Mus musculus: one gene and its partners. The protein of the gene in region 1 interacts with the protein of each later gene in a pairwise test. Links are inferred from orthologs where the notes say so. Each region holds a gene or a part of one and is shown on either strand. Other genes may lie near its edges.

Evidence for each region.
Region 2: the proteins of Arl6ip1 (region 1) and Myg1 interact in binary tests that used the Homo sapiens proteins (3 or more experiments, as listed by UniProt). The two-hybrid records come from large-scale screens. The link is inferred for Mus musculus from reciprocal best matches to the Homo sapiens genes ARL6IP1 and MYG1.
Region 3: the proteins of Arl6ip1 (region 1) and Tufm interact in binary tests that used the Homo sapiens proteins (3 or more experiments, as listed by UniProt). The two-hybrid records come from large-scale screens. The link is inferred for Mus musculus from reciprocal best matches to the Homo sapiens genes ARL6IP1 and TUFM.

Annotation. Positions count from the first base shown.
Region 1 is NC_000073.6:118,127,426-118,131,171, reverse strand, and holds the start of Arl6ip1 (ADP-ribosylation factor-like protein 6-interacting protein 1), read left to right. Parts: upstream 1-1,546; 5' UTR 1,547-1,667; coding exon 1,668-1,703; intron 1,704-3,746. UniProt on the Homo sapiens protein: Positively regulates SLC1A1/EAAC1-mediated glutamate transport by increasing its affinity for glutamate in a PKC activity-dependent manner.
Region 2 is NC_000081.6:102,330,850-102,334,595, forward strand, and holds the start of Myg1 (MYG1 exonuclease precursor), read left to right. Parts: upstream 1-859; 5' UTR 860-891; coding exon 892-1,104; intron 1,105-1,240; coding exon 1,241-1,353; intron 1,354-1,676; exon of another isoform or gene 1,677-1,869; intron 1,870-3,352; coding exon 3,353-3,512; intron 3,513-3,746. Other genes in the region: Pfdn5 (prefoldin subunit 5), read left to right, coding at 424-500. UniProt on the Homo sapiens protein: 3'-5' RNA exonuclease which cleaves in situ on specific transcripts in both nucleus and mitochondrion. Involved in regulating spatially segregated organellar RNA processing, acts as a coordinator of nucleo-mitochondrial crosstalk.
Region 3 is NC_000073.6:126,486,488-126,490,233, forward strand, and holds the start of Tufm (elongation factor Tu, mitochondrial), read left to right. Parts: upstream 1-867; 5' UTR 868-960; coding exon 961-1,003; intron 1,004-1,100; coding exon 1,101-1,295; intron 1,296-1,772; coding exon 1,773-1,939; intron 1,940-2,162; coding exon 2,163-2,267; intron 2,268-2,349; coding exon 2,350-2,514; intron 2,515-2,632; coding exon 2,633-2,765; intron 2,766-2,848; coding exon 2,849-2,953; intron 2,954-3,064; coding exon 3,065-3,216; coding exon of another isoform or gene 3,217-3,304; coding exon 3,305-3,424; intron 3,425-3,746. UniProt on the Homo sapiens protein: GTP hydrolase that promotes the GTP-dependent binding of aminoacyl-tRNA to the A-site of ribosomes during protein biosynthesis. Also plays a role in the regulation of autophagy and innate immunity.

The DNA of each region.
Region 1 (3,746 bases):
CGAGTTAATTATTTCAGTAGGAAAGTTCTTAGATAAGAATCGACACCTTCAATCCCAGGGGAGGCAAGGATAGGTGGAATTTCTAGGCGAATCTGGTTTATAAAGCAAGTTTCAGGACAGCCAGGATTACACAGAAAATGCATGAAGCTTAATTTTAGCAATATTTAAAACAAAACTGCAGAGCCTTAATTGTGAGTGAAAGCTCTGAAAGAAGAAGAGTATTTGCAAAGATCTTCTTCATTTGCAGTGCCAAAGTTCTGAGGAAGATTTGTGTTACGAGCTTCATCTTCTGACACATTTCAAAAGGTCACTTTGTGGTAGAAAAAGAGGTGTTTGTAACCTCTGAGCCATTTGGAAGGTTAGTGAGAGCTGGATTGGGACCTGGGACTGGCCTAAACTTAAATTTTACTTTGGGAACACCGACTAAACTAAGCTTTCTGGGGCAGTAGCCAAGTTGCCAAGGAAAAACTTATTACTCTGCCCTCTCTTAGCAAAGTGACTGCTCCTGGTACCACCAAGATGGGCACCTCATTGCTTGGTAGCAGCTGTTTGGGTCCTTTTGTTCTCAATACTGAGGAGAAGGAGGGAATTCCAGGCTTTACAATTTTTGACATGATTTCTGTATCAACCGAAGTCATAATATCCCCCCCCCGCCCCGCCCACACACAATGAGCGTCCTTCCTGGTCAAAACTGTTGTCTGTACCTTCTAGTACTTTCCACAAGTTCTATGACAAATTGTATGCCCCTTTGACAGAGCCACCATAGGCCAGGAAGGGACCAGGCATATTTAGGAGCACTATGTGATCTCTCACATTTCTCTTTAACCTCCAAGGCCTTTAAAGAACCTGGGAATTAAGGAACGAAGTGTTTTTAAAAATAATTTAAAATTAGTTGAAGGTCGTATTTAGCCTGGCTTCCCCATACATCCATTAATCTATCAGTCTGAAGCCCTCCAACATCCGAATTGCTCCTCTACTCATCCATCCCTCCGAATGAAGCGCTCCCCTAGCTACCTGAAGTACTCATAGATTATCAAGTGAAGCACCCCGCAAATGATTCCCCCAAAAACTGGCTGCAAATGAAGCCCTTTAAGAGTTTGTGCATCTTCCATGTTCTCCAAAGGCCAGAGCTGGGGAGAAGGCACAGACAGCGCTCACTTGGGGCAGCCAATACTTCAGTCAGCAGGTGCCACAGCAACCTAAAGCGTCCTTGCCCTTCCAGCCTCCGCATAGGATGCCATTGCGCATCCCCTGCGCAGCTGAGCGGACAGGCGCCTGAGCGGTTTTGATTTCCAGCAGAAGAGCTAGGGACTAGAGAGGCCCCAGGATTTAGGAAGATCTGGGTGAGAGACTAGGTACGGCGGTTGAACCGCTTCCTTCCGCTCCGCCTCTCGAGGGCCACACCCCTGCACTCTGATTGGTCAGAGTCTTTCAGTTTCGCTCTCCTTTGACCTGGATTTCAAGTCATGCGCTAGCTGCCGGTTGGCCCGACTTCCCAGAAGCCGGAGTGCGGTCTACCCAATGAGGAGCGAGTTTCGCGAGGGCTGTCGGGAAAGGCAGCTAGCCTATATAAGCAGACTGCGGGGCGTTCCCCCGCGCTCGGGTTGCCTTGCTGGTGTTGGGGGGATAGTGTGTGTTCGCTCGTTGATAACCGCGAGTCTGGAACGATGGCGGAGGGGGATAACCGCAGCAGCAACCTGCTGGTGAGTTGCGGTGGTCAGTCTGTCCCCGGAGTTTCCGGATGGGCCTCCTGGCCTCGGTGGACTACCAGGGACAGCCAGGCCTTATCTCCACGGTGGAGGTCGCTGCTGGCGATCCCCAACGTCCCCCGGAATCCTGCACCATAAGGCTTGGGCCGTGCGTGAGGAAGTGTGAGAAGGGGGCTGTGGCAAGAAGGAACCTGGGTAACAGGTTGGGGCACTCGGCCGCCAGGGGCCTTGTCTAGCGCTCCGGCTCAGGCCGGAGACCTACCTGTTTTGCCCTTTGATCTTAATCTCATGTTCCGTAGATTATTTTTAATCATGATTCTTTTTCTCCTAAAACTTGGCGCAAGGGTGGAGGGTCAAAGGGCTGCTACAGAGAATTAGTTTATCGCTGACACAGAATTTGTTGGAGCTGGCTGGTTGGAGTTCACCGCAGGAAGCTGAAAACGGGTTCTGCGGAAAGGACAGTGGGGGATCCTGGCACTTGTCTGGGAACTGGCGAGGGACTCACGGGACTGGATGCAACTTTAAAAATGATTTAGCACGGATTTGACGGAGCTACACGAGATGATGGTATTAGAAGAGGGCGCGTTTGCTTCATTACAGGTCTTTGTTTTTGGTTAGGTCTTTGTTTTTGGTTTTTAAGGCTAGGTTTTCGTGTAGCTTGACGAGGCTAGCCTTGTATTTGTCATCCTCCTGTGCTGGGATTACAGTTGCGCATCACCAGGCCCTGCTAGTTTCAAATTTTTAACTGCATCACCCACCTAGGCAAGAACGAAAGATCTTTTTTTTTTTTTTTCTGTATTGTCATTCCCCAGAAAAGGCAGGCCATATCAGAAATGAAAAAAGCAATCAGCTTTTAATGCCTGCCTTTTTAACTGCTAAGTGCCGACAAGATTCTTCGGGACAGTTTTGATTAGTGCAAGATTTTCAGTTTGTATTTGTGTTTAGAGGTGCATTCCCTGTATCCTTAAATTCCCTACACACACACACACACACACACACACACACACAGTACCATACAATAGAGATGCTTACCCTGTACCCTTAAACTCCTCCTACACAATACCAGCAAACAATTCAATAAGAGGATTAATTGCTGTACAAGGAAACTATCATGGGAGAGGGCCTGATCACTACTATTTCCATCATTTTAAGGAGAGCAAGTCCATTAGTCTTGGATTTCCTGGATTTAAATATATTAACCCCTTTATGTCTCAGTCGCCTTATCTTAAAGTAGAGGTTGTGAGAATACCTTTTCCAGTTTTTTTGGAGCGTCAATTGAAGTATAACATGTAAAATGTTTAGGATTTCTAGTATGGGGAGATGTCAAAAGTACTTAGTCACATATCTCATCTTTATTAAAATTAGCCTGAACTGTTCTATATTTGCATATTCCTTTGTGAAGAGTTGATAGTGTCAGTTGGGCATTGTGTGTATGTAGTTCCTGGATGTTGAATCCAGAGTTCTGCACAAACAGGTTCTAAATACCTTCCGTTACCAAAGTCCCTGATAGGTTCAGGTCACAGTAGCCCATGGTAAAGGTGTGCTTTTGGCTAGTTGTCACATATGCAGAAAAATTTTGAGATTTAATTGAAATTCTATCATTAATGATGAGGAGCCATTAAGTGCTGAGCTCACATAGTTTGGTTGAAAGAGTTTTCTTTAATTCCACAGTGACTGCCAACATCAGAGTCATTCCATTATACAAAGCTATTTTAGAGATTTATGTACTTAGTGTTAAGGGAAAGGTTCTCCTGATGGATTTAGAAGGACTTCAATCAATAAAACGGCCAATCGACAGATCAATGCCAACCACCTGAAATGGGCAAACAGAATATTCAATCTAGTAATATTCTGAGCACTGCCTCTTGGCTCTGTGGCTGCATTTGGGGATATTAGTTTCCCATATTAAGCTCACTTTCATGAATATTGAAATAAATTGTGAAATCTTGGGAATATTATTATACATCATGGACATATGGCCCAGTGCTAAAATGACCATTAAAGCCTAGGCTTTTTCCTACCCATGGATTTTCATAT
Region 2 (3,746 bases), on another chromosome or scaffold:
TGGGCGTGGTGGCACGCACGCCTTTAATCCCGGTACTCGGGAGGCAGAGGCAGGCAGATTTCTGATTTCCAGACTGGTCTACAGAGTGAGTTCCAGGACAGCCGGGCCTATACAGAGAAACCCTGTCTGAAAAACCGTAAAAAAAAAAAGAAGAAAAGAAAATAGCCTAGATTCTATAGCCAGTCTACTTGGCGCAGCCTCCTGATTTATTTTTTGAGTGGTGTTAGGGATTGAATATGGCCTCCAGTCTGACAGTCTTTTCTGCTTATGGTTAACATTTTGTTTATTTTTACATTCCAGTGGTTAGCATACTGACAACCCTGTAGACTCTAAGTCTGTGTGTTTGTGTCCCCCACAGTTTAACGGCAGTGTTCTTAGCCCTGGGTTCTCACTAGGCTGTGACTGCTCCTTCTTTTCTTGTAGCTGTCATGGAAATGATGAGCCAGAAGATTCAGCAGCTCACAGCCCTGGGGGCAGCGCAGGCCACGGTCAAAGCCTGAGAGTGCACTGCAGAAATGAAGCAGAGTGAGGGACCCTTCTTCAAGGGGCCTGGGACTTTTTCCGGCAATGGCCTCCTGGGAAAGTGGCCTGGGAAGAGAGTGTTTTGTGTTTAATGTTAATAAATGTGACCGCTGCGCAAATGGGGTGGTCTATTCTTGCATTAAACAAGGGCCTGGTGCTGAACTGGGAGTGCCCAGGAGGTGTACTTTTGCCAAGAGCCCCCTAGCCACACGGCCTTATAGAGGTTCCAACCAGAGGTTTGGGGACCTGTAAAAAGGTTTTGCGCTAAGTAGTGCACAGTGTTGTTGCCATGGGGACGGATGGCGGGCGGAAGTGAAGCTGTGCCTGACACTTCCTCTTCCGGGTCGACCTTCCCTTGGAGGGAACTATATGGGTAGACGTTTCCTGCGTGGTATCTTAACATTGCCGCTCCGGTCAGTTCTCCAAGCCCAGCACCGCATGCTTGGCTCAGAGCAGGATCCGCCCGCTAAAAGACCTCGCAACAACCTCATGGCACCGCCCCGAATCGGGACGCACAACGGCACCTTCCACTGCGATGAAGCTCTGGCTTGCGCGTTGCTCCGCCTCCTGCCCGAGTACGCGGTACGGACCTGCGAACCTAACCCGGTCCCCTCTGATGCTGCAATGGCCTGAGAACCGCCTTCCCCGAGACGCACGCCCTGGAAACCCAACTTTAATCCTGACTCCTACCTGACAGCCCCTTCCTCTGTGCCTGCAGAACGCAGAGATTGTGCGGACTCGGGATCCTGAAAAGTTGGCTTCGTGTGACATCGTGGTGGATGTGGGCGGTGAGTACAACCCCCAGAGTCACCGTTATGATCATCACCAGAGGTGAGTTCACACTCGCTGCCTGTTCTCTTGACTTTCTTGATTTAGCTTTAGTGCTCCAATCCCACCACCCACTGCCCAAGTTCATGACAGCAAAGACCACTGCCTCCTCATCGTTGAAGTCAAGCAATTTATCGCTCTGGGAATTAAAGCTCGCTTCGAGCCTGCTCCTTGGCCTGGAACCTCCCTCAGGTCCCTCCCGCCATAACTTTTTTTCACACTGGCAGTTTTCCATTCACTTGTCCTTGCCACAAGCTGCTGGATCCTTCTAGTTCAAGGATAATCTACTGAGGTGGCCTTTTGCTTTGTTTTTATTCTACTTTAAGAGTAGGGGTGTCTTGTCTGCATTCATGTCTGTACATCAAATGCATTGGTGTCCAAGGAGGACGGAAAAAAGGTATCAGGATCCCCTGGAATTGGAGTTAAAGAAGTCATGAGACACCGCGTGGATGCAGGGAATTGAACCTGCCTCCTCTGCAAGAGCAGCCAGCTCTTTTAGCCATCTCCAGCCCCATGATGGTTAGTTATCAGTTTGATAAAATTTCGATTCTAGAATCACCTGGGAATCGGTCCGTTGAGGGGGTATCCAGATGGGGTTGGCCGTGTTTGTAGGGTGTCTTTGATTGCCCTGTAAGGCCCTGCCCACTGTGGGAGGCACTAATCCCTGGGCTGTGTGAGCGAAGGAAGATGGCCAAGCACTAGCAGCCTGCATGCACTTGTCTCTCTGCTCTTGTCTGGGTGAGATGTGACTCCCCATTCTAAGTTTCTCCCACCTTCCCCTCTGTGATGGGATGTTGTGATGTTGTGAGCTAAAATAAACATTTTTTGCCTCTGAAGTTGATTTTTGTCAGGTGTCTCATCACAGCAGCAGACATGGAAATGGGCTGTTACATGTTATATATTCCCAGTACCACTGCACTGTCCTCCCTCACCTCAGACACATAACCAGGCTCTGGTGCATGTCCCCACCTTTGCTGAAAGATAAGCGCTTCTTGTATATGTTTCTTCACTTTTCCTACGTCCAAAATCTCACAATTCCACTTTCCAATTTAGGAAAATTGGTTCCCTTCTGTTGTTTGTTTTGTTTTGTTTTGAGACATGCCTTTCTCTATCGCACTGGCTGTCTTGGAACTGCCTCTGTAGTCCAGGCTGGCCTCAGTCTCACAGAGATACGGCTGCCTTTGCCTCCTGAGTGCTGGAATTAAAGGTGTGTGCCACCACGCCTGGCATCTTTTTGTTCTTTTTAAAGTGGATACGTGAGTAAATATCATCTGTGTGGGATGTGAATAGCCTTTTCTTGTCCTCTAAAGTAACAGCTACTTGCCTAACATCTGCAACCTGTTAGGCATTATAAGTAATTTAGAGATGATCTAAAAGATACAAGAGGAGGAGCAAGGTGCATGGTGTACACCTGTAACTCCAGTACTTCCTGAGTAGAGGCTGGAGGGTCATGAGTTCAAGGTCATCATCTGTTTGTTAGCAAGTTTGAGCCTAGCCTGGATCACATAAAACCCATTCCCATCAAGGAAAAAGAATGTAGCCCCGTATGATAGTCTGCACCTTTAATCCCAGGCGGTGAGAGCCAAAGCAGGGAATGATTTCCAGGACAACACAGAGAAACTCTGTCTCCAAAAACAGGAGGATGTGTGTCCTTTACAGGCAAACACTGTCCCATTTTACATAAAGAACTTGACATCTGGAGGTCAGGCCCTTAGGAACCACAGACAGTGACAGTTAGGGACAGTTGCTCTGTTGTTTGTCCCCCTCCCACAGATGAACTTTAAAGGACAGGATCTTTGATTTTTCTCCATAATGTTCAAAACACAAAACTCAACATACAATGATGAGTCAAACCGCTGTATGGGAATGTCGGAGTAGAAGCTCTCAGCCAAGGCCTGTGTTGGCACCAGAGGACACGCTAACATCTTCTCAAGTGGTTTCTCGTCTCCCCATCCCACTGATAACCAACTCCTTCACCTCAGCCCCTCCCTATGCTCCTCAGGACTTTTACAGAAACCATGAGTTCACTGTGCCCTGGAAAGCCATGGCAGACCAAGCTGAGCAGTGCGGGACTTGTCTATTTGCACTTCGGACGTAAGCTCCTGGCCCAGTTGCTGGGCACTAGTGAAGAGGACAGCGTGGTGGATACCATCTATGACAAGGTAGGGGCCCGAGGACAGAGAGGTCCCATCTGTGCCTTCCCGCTGGGCTGGCTAGCAATGGCACAGCTACAGTCCTGAACTAGGTCAGTCACTGGCCTATAGGGGACAGTCCTAGTCACTGTCCTATTGCTGAGAAGAGAAACTATGACCATAGCAGCTCTTACAAAAGAAAGCATTTAACTGGGGCTGGCTCATGGTTTCAGAGGTTTAAAACATCTGCTTTCACATAGTGGG
Region 3 (3,746 bases), about 8.4 Mb from region 1:
TCATTAGGGGGCTGGAGAGATGGCTCTGTGGTTTAGAGCACTGACTGCTCTCCCAAAGGTCCTGAGTTCAAATCCCAGCAACCACATGGTGGCTCACAACCATCCGTAATGAGATCTGATGTCCTCTTCTGGTGTGTCTGAAGACAGCTACAGTGTACTTACATAGAATAAATAAATCTTAAAAAAAAACAAAAACAAAAACCACTTATTCATTAGGGAACAAACATTTGCTGGGTATACAAAAGATTCAACTAACAGTAAAAAAAAAACTTCCTTTAATCCCAGCACTGAGACAGGAGATTTCTCTAGAGCTGGAAGACCAGCCTGGTCTACATAGGCCAGCCAAGGAGACCCTGTCTCGGAAGGTAGTGGGGAAGAAGGAAGAAAAAGGAAAGAAAACTGCTTGTCAAGCGTCCAAAGGACTATTGGGGGAGGAGGGTTTGACTTCAAAATGTTAGAAAGCACAGGATCCCTGCAAGAGATATGGGGGCAGTTATTTAATGGCCAAGGACTGGAACTCCCGGGACTCCATCCCTGACTCTCGTTAATTTTGCCTCTTACAGGCTGGGAGATCTTCTCTCTGGACCGAACCCAGGCGAAGCTAAAGCCTGTCACAAACTGACCCAAGCCCGCTGCCCTGGAAACCACAACACCCATAAGCCTTCGGGGGCGCTCGTGCATTATGGGGCGCTCCGCATTTTCCTCCTAAAGCGGCCCCCTCAGGCTGAACTGTGGAAATTCCCCATCGTCCCCCGCGAGACACCAGAAACCCCCTCTTCCGCTCCATGCCCGGATATCAGTGGCCGTGGCCATAGAAACTGTCTGCTAGAGGCTCCTAAACTCGCTGTCCGGACCCTCATTTCCGCCGGAAGTGATCTGCAGTCCCAAGTGCCCGTCCTTCCCTGCACGCGCGGGCCCCGGGTGCCTAGTTCCCGGTCCCGGTCACCGAGTACTACCACAATGGCGGCAGCCACTCTATTGCGAGCGACGCCCCGCTTCAGCGGTGAGGGGGCGGGTTGGACGCAGGCAGCCCGGAGTTGCGAGGGGCGCGGAGGGTAGCTGGGTTCGGATCCCTGACTCCCAAGTGCCTTTCCCCGCAGGTCTCTGCGCCAGCCCGACCCCATTTCTGCAAGGTCGGCTGCGGCCGCTGAAGGCTCCCGCATCACCCTTCTTGTGTCGCGGCCTAGCTGTGGAGGCCAAGAAGACTTATGTACGCGACAAGCCCCATGTGAATGTGGGTACCATCGGACATGTGGACCATGGCAAGACCACCCTGACTGCAGCCATCACGAAAAGTGAGTAGGGTTGGGTTGGGTTGGAGGCGTCGGGCAATGTCCTGTCAGCTGGAAGAGTCAGAACTAGAGCGTAGGGTGGGTGTCTTGTAGTCCGCTGAACTTTAGCATGGCTCCAAGAGACACTTGGGACGAAGGCTGGTGGGAAGATGCAGGAGACAGGTTTCCCTGTACAGGAAGAGCTCTGTGAGGCATAAAATGAAAACTGTGAATGGTTTCCATCCAGTGTAGAGTGGTCTGTAAAGAGATGCTGTCAGCGAAGAATTGGAAGCGTCTGTGATGAGCACACACCTTAGGAAATTCTCTCACTGTCTTACAAAGTTATCTTTCCTAGAATTACATTTGAGATTTCCTAGAATTGAGATTTAACAGAGATTTATCCTTCCAGATTGTTTCTGTATGAGGGGTTCAGGCGTGTGCCCCGAGCCTTGTCTGTAGCTCTGACCCTGAGTTGAGAGGTGTGTTCTCTTCCTCCGGTAGTTCTAGCCGAGGGAGGTGGAGCTAAGTTCAAGAAGTACGAGGAGATAGACAATGCCCCAGAGGAGCGAGCTCGGGGCATCACCATCAATGCAGCCCATGTGGAGTATAGCACTGCTGCCCGACACTATGCCCACACAGACTGTCCTGGTCATGCAGATTATGTTAAGGTGAGGGTTGCTGGGGACAGCCAGCACCTGCTTCCGTTCAGTGGAGGTGTGAGGGGGGGAGGTTATAAAATAGTGGCGGTGTTTGAATATAAGAACAAGGATTTGTGGCTGTGGGTGGTGAAGACATGGCAGAGAGATGGAGATCTTCACAGCTACTTCTCATTAGAGGATGCATGTTGAAGAGGTCCCTGAACTAAGCTGACCTTCTTCCTCTTCCACCCAGAATATGATCACAGGCACTGCCCCCCTGGATGGCTGTATCCTGGTGGTGGCAGCTAATGATGGCCCCATGCCCCAGACCCGAGAGCACTTACTGCTAGCTAAACAGGTACTGGGGTCTGAGTGGGATGGACATCCGTGAGACGTCAGATGGCTCAGGAGAGTTGCTCAGTCTCTTGTCTTGCCTGCAGATTGGGGTAGAACATGTTGTGGTGTACGTGAACAAGGCAGACGCTGTCCAGGACTCAGAGATGGTGGAGTTAGTCGAGCTGGAGATCCGGGAGCTGCTCACCGAGTTTGGCTATAAAGGAGAGGAAACTCCAGTCATCGTAGGCTCGGCTCTCTGTGCCCTTGAGGTGAGCACAGCACAGGCTCCTGTTGGTAGAGGACGGGGTAGAGCTTTGCTCTGTACCTGGAAACTTAGCATCCTGTGATAGGAACAGAAGTTTCAAGGTCTTGTCATGTCTCCAACAGCAACGTGACCCTGAGCTAGGCGTGAAGTCAGTGCAGAAGCTCCTGGATGCTGTGGACACCTACATCCCAGTGCCCACCCGGGACCTGGACAAGCCCTTCCTGCTCCCTGTAGAGTCAGTCTACTCTATTCCTGGTGAGGCCCGTGCTCACGTACACCACTCCTCATAGGGGTCATCTGACCCTGGGTGACCAATAACCCATCCTGTTTCTTTCCAGGCCGGGGCACAGTGGTGACAGGTACATTAGAGCGTGGCATTTTGAAGAAAGGAGATGAGTGTGAGTTGCTGGGACATAACAAGAACATCCGCACTGTGGTGACAGGTATGAGAAGATTTCAGATCCAAGGACGTGGTCAGAATGGTCCCTTCCCATGTAGCTCTTATACCTTCATTCTGCCTCAGACCCTCTTCTCTCCTGTCTTCTTCCTTGTAGGCATTGAGATGTTCCACAAGAGCCTGGAGAGGGCTGAGGCAGGGGATAACCTGGGTGCTCTGGTCCGAGGCTTAAAGCGCGAAGATTTGAGGCGTGGCTTGGTCATGGTCAAGCCAGGCTCCATCCAACCCCACCAGAAGGTGGAGGCCCAGGTGAGGGCTCCAGTGCTGAGTGGTTTCCCTTGCTTAGAAGCAGGACTTGTAGCTAAGCCATTCCATCCTTACTGCTTCTCTCCTCTAGGTTTATATCCTCAGCAAGGAGGAAGGTGGCCGCCACAAACCCTTTGTATCTCATTTCATGCCCGTCATGTTCTCCCTGACCTGGGACATGGCCTGTCGAGTCATCTTGCCTCCAGGGAAGGTATGTTGAGGCTGGGGGGGATATAAAAGGAATAGAACTGGGCTGTGGTAGCCCATGACTTTAATCTTAGCAGCTGGAAGGCAGAGGCATGTGAATCTCTTGAGTTCAAGGCTGGTGTAGTTAGTATACAGAGCTAGTTCCAGGGCAGTTAGGGGTACACAGCGAAATCCTGTCTCAAACACAAGAAGGGCTCAGGAAAATCCTGTTGACTAAAACTGCGTAATACCAAATTCCCGATTATGGTCCCTTTACTTTTTCCATGCTGTTTGCGTGTGCCTAGCAACTAAATGAAACGTCCCAGATTCTTCAACCTGTTGAGCTT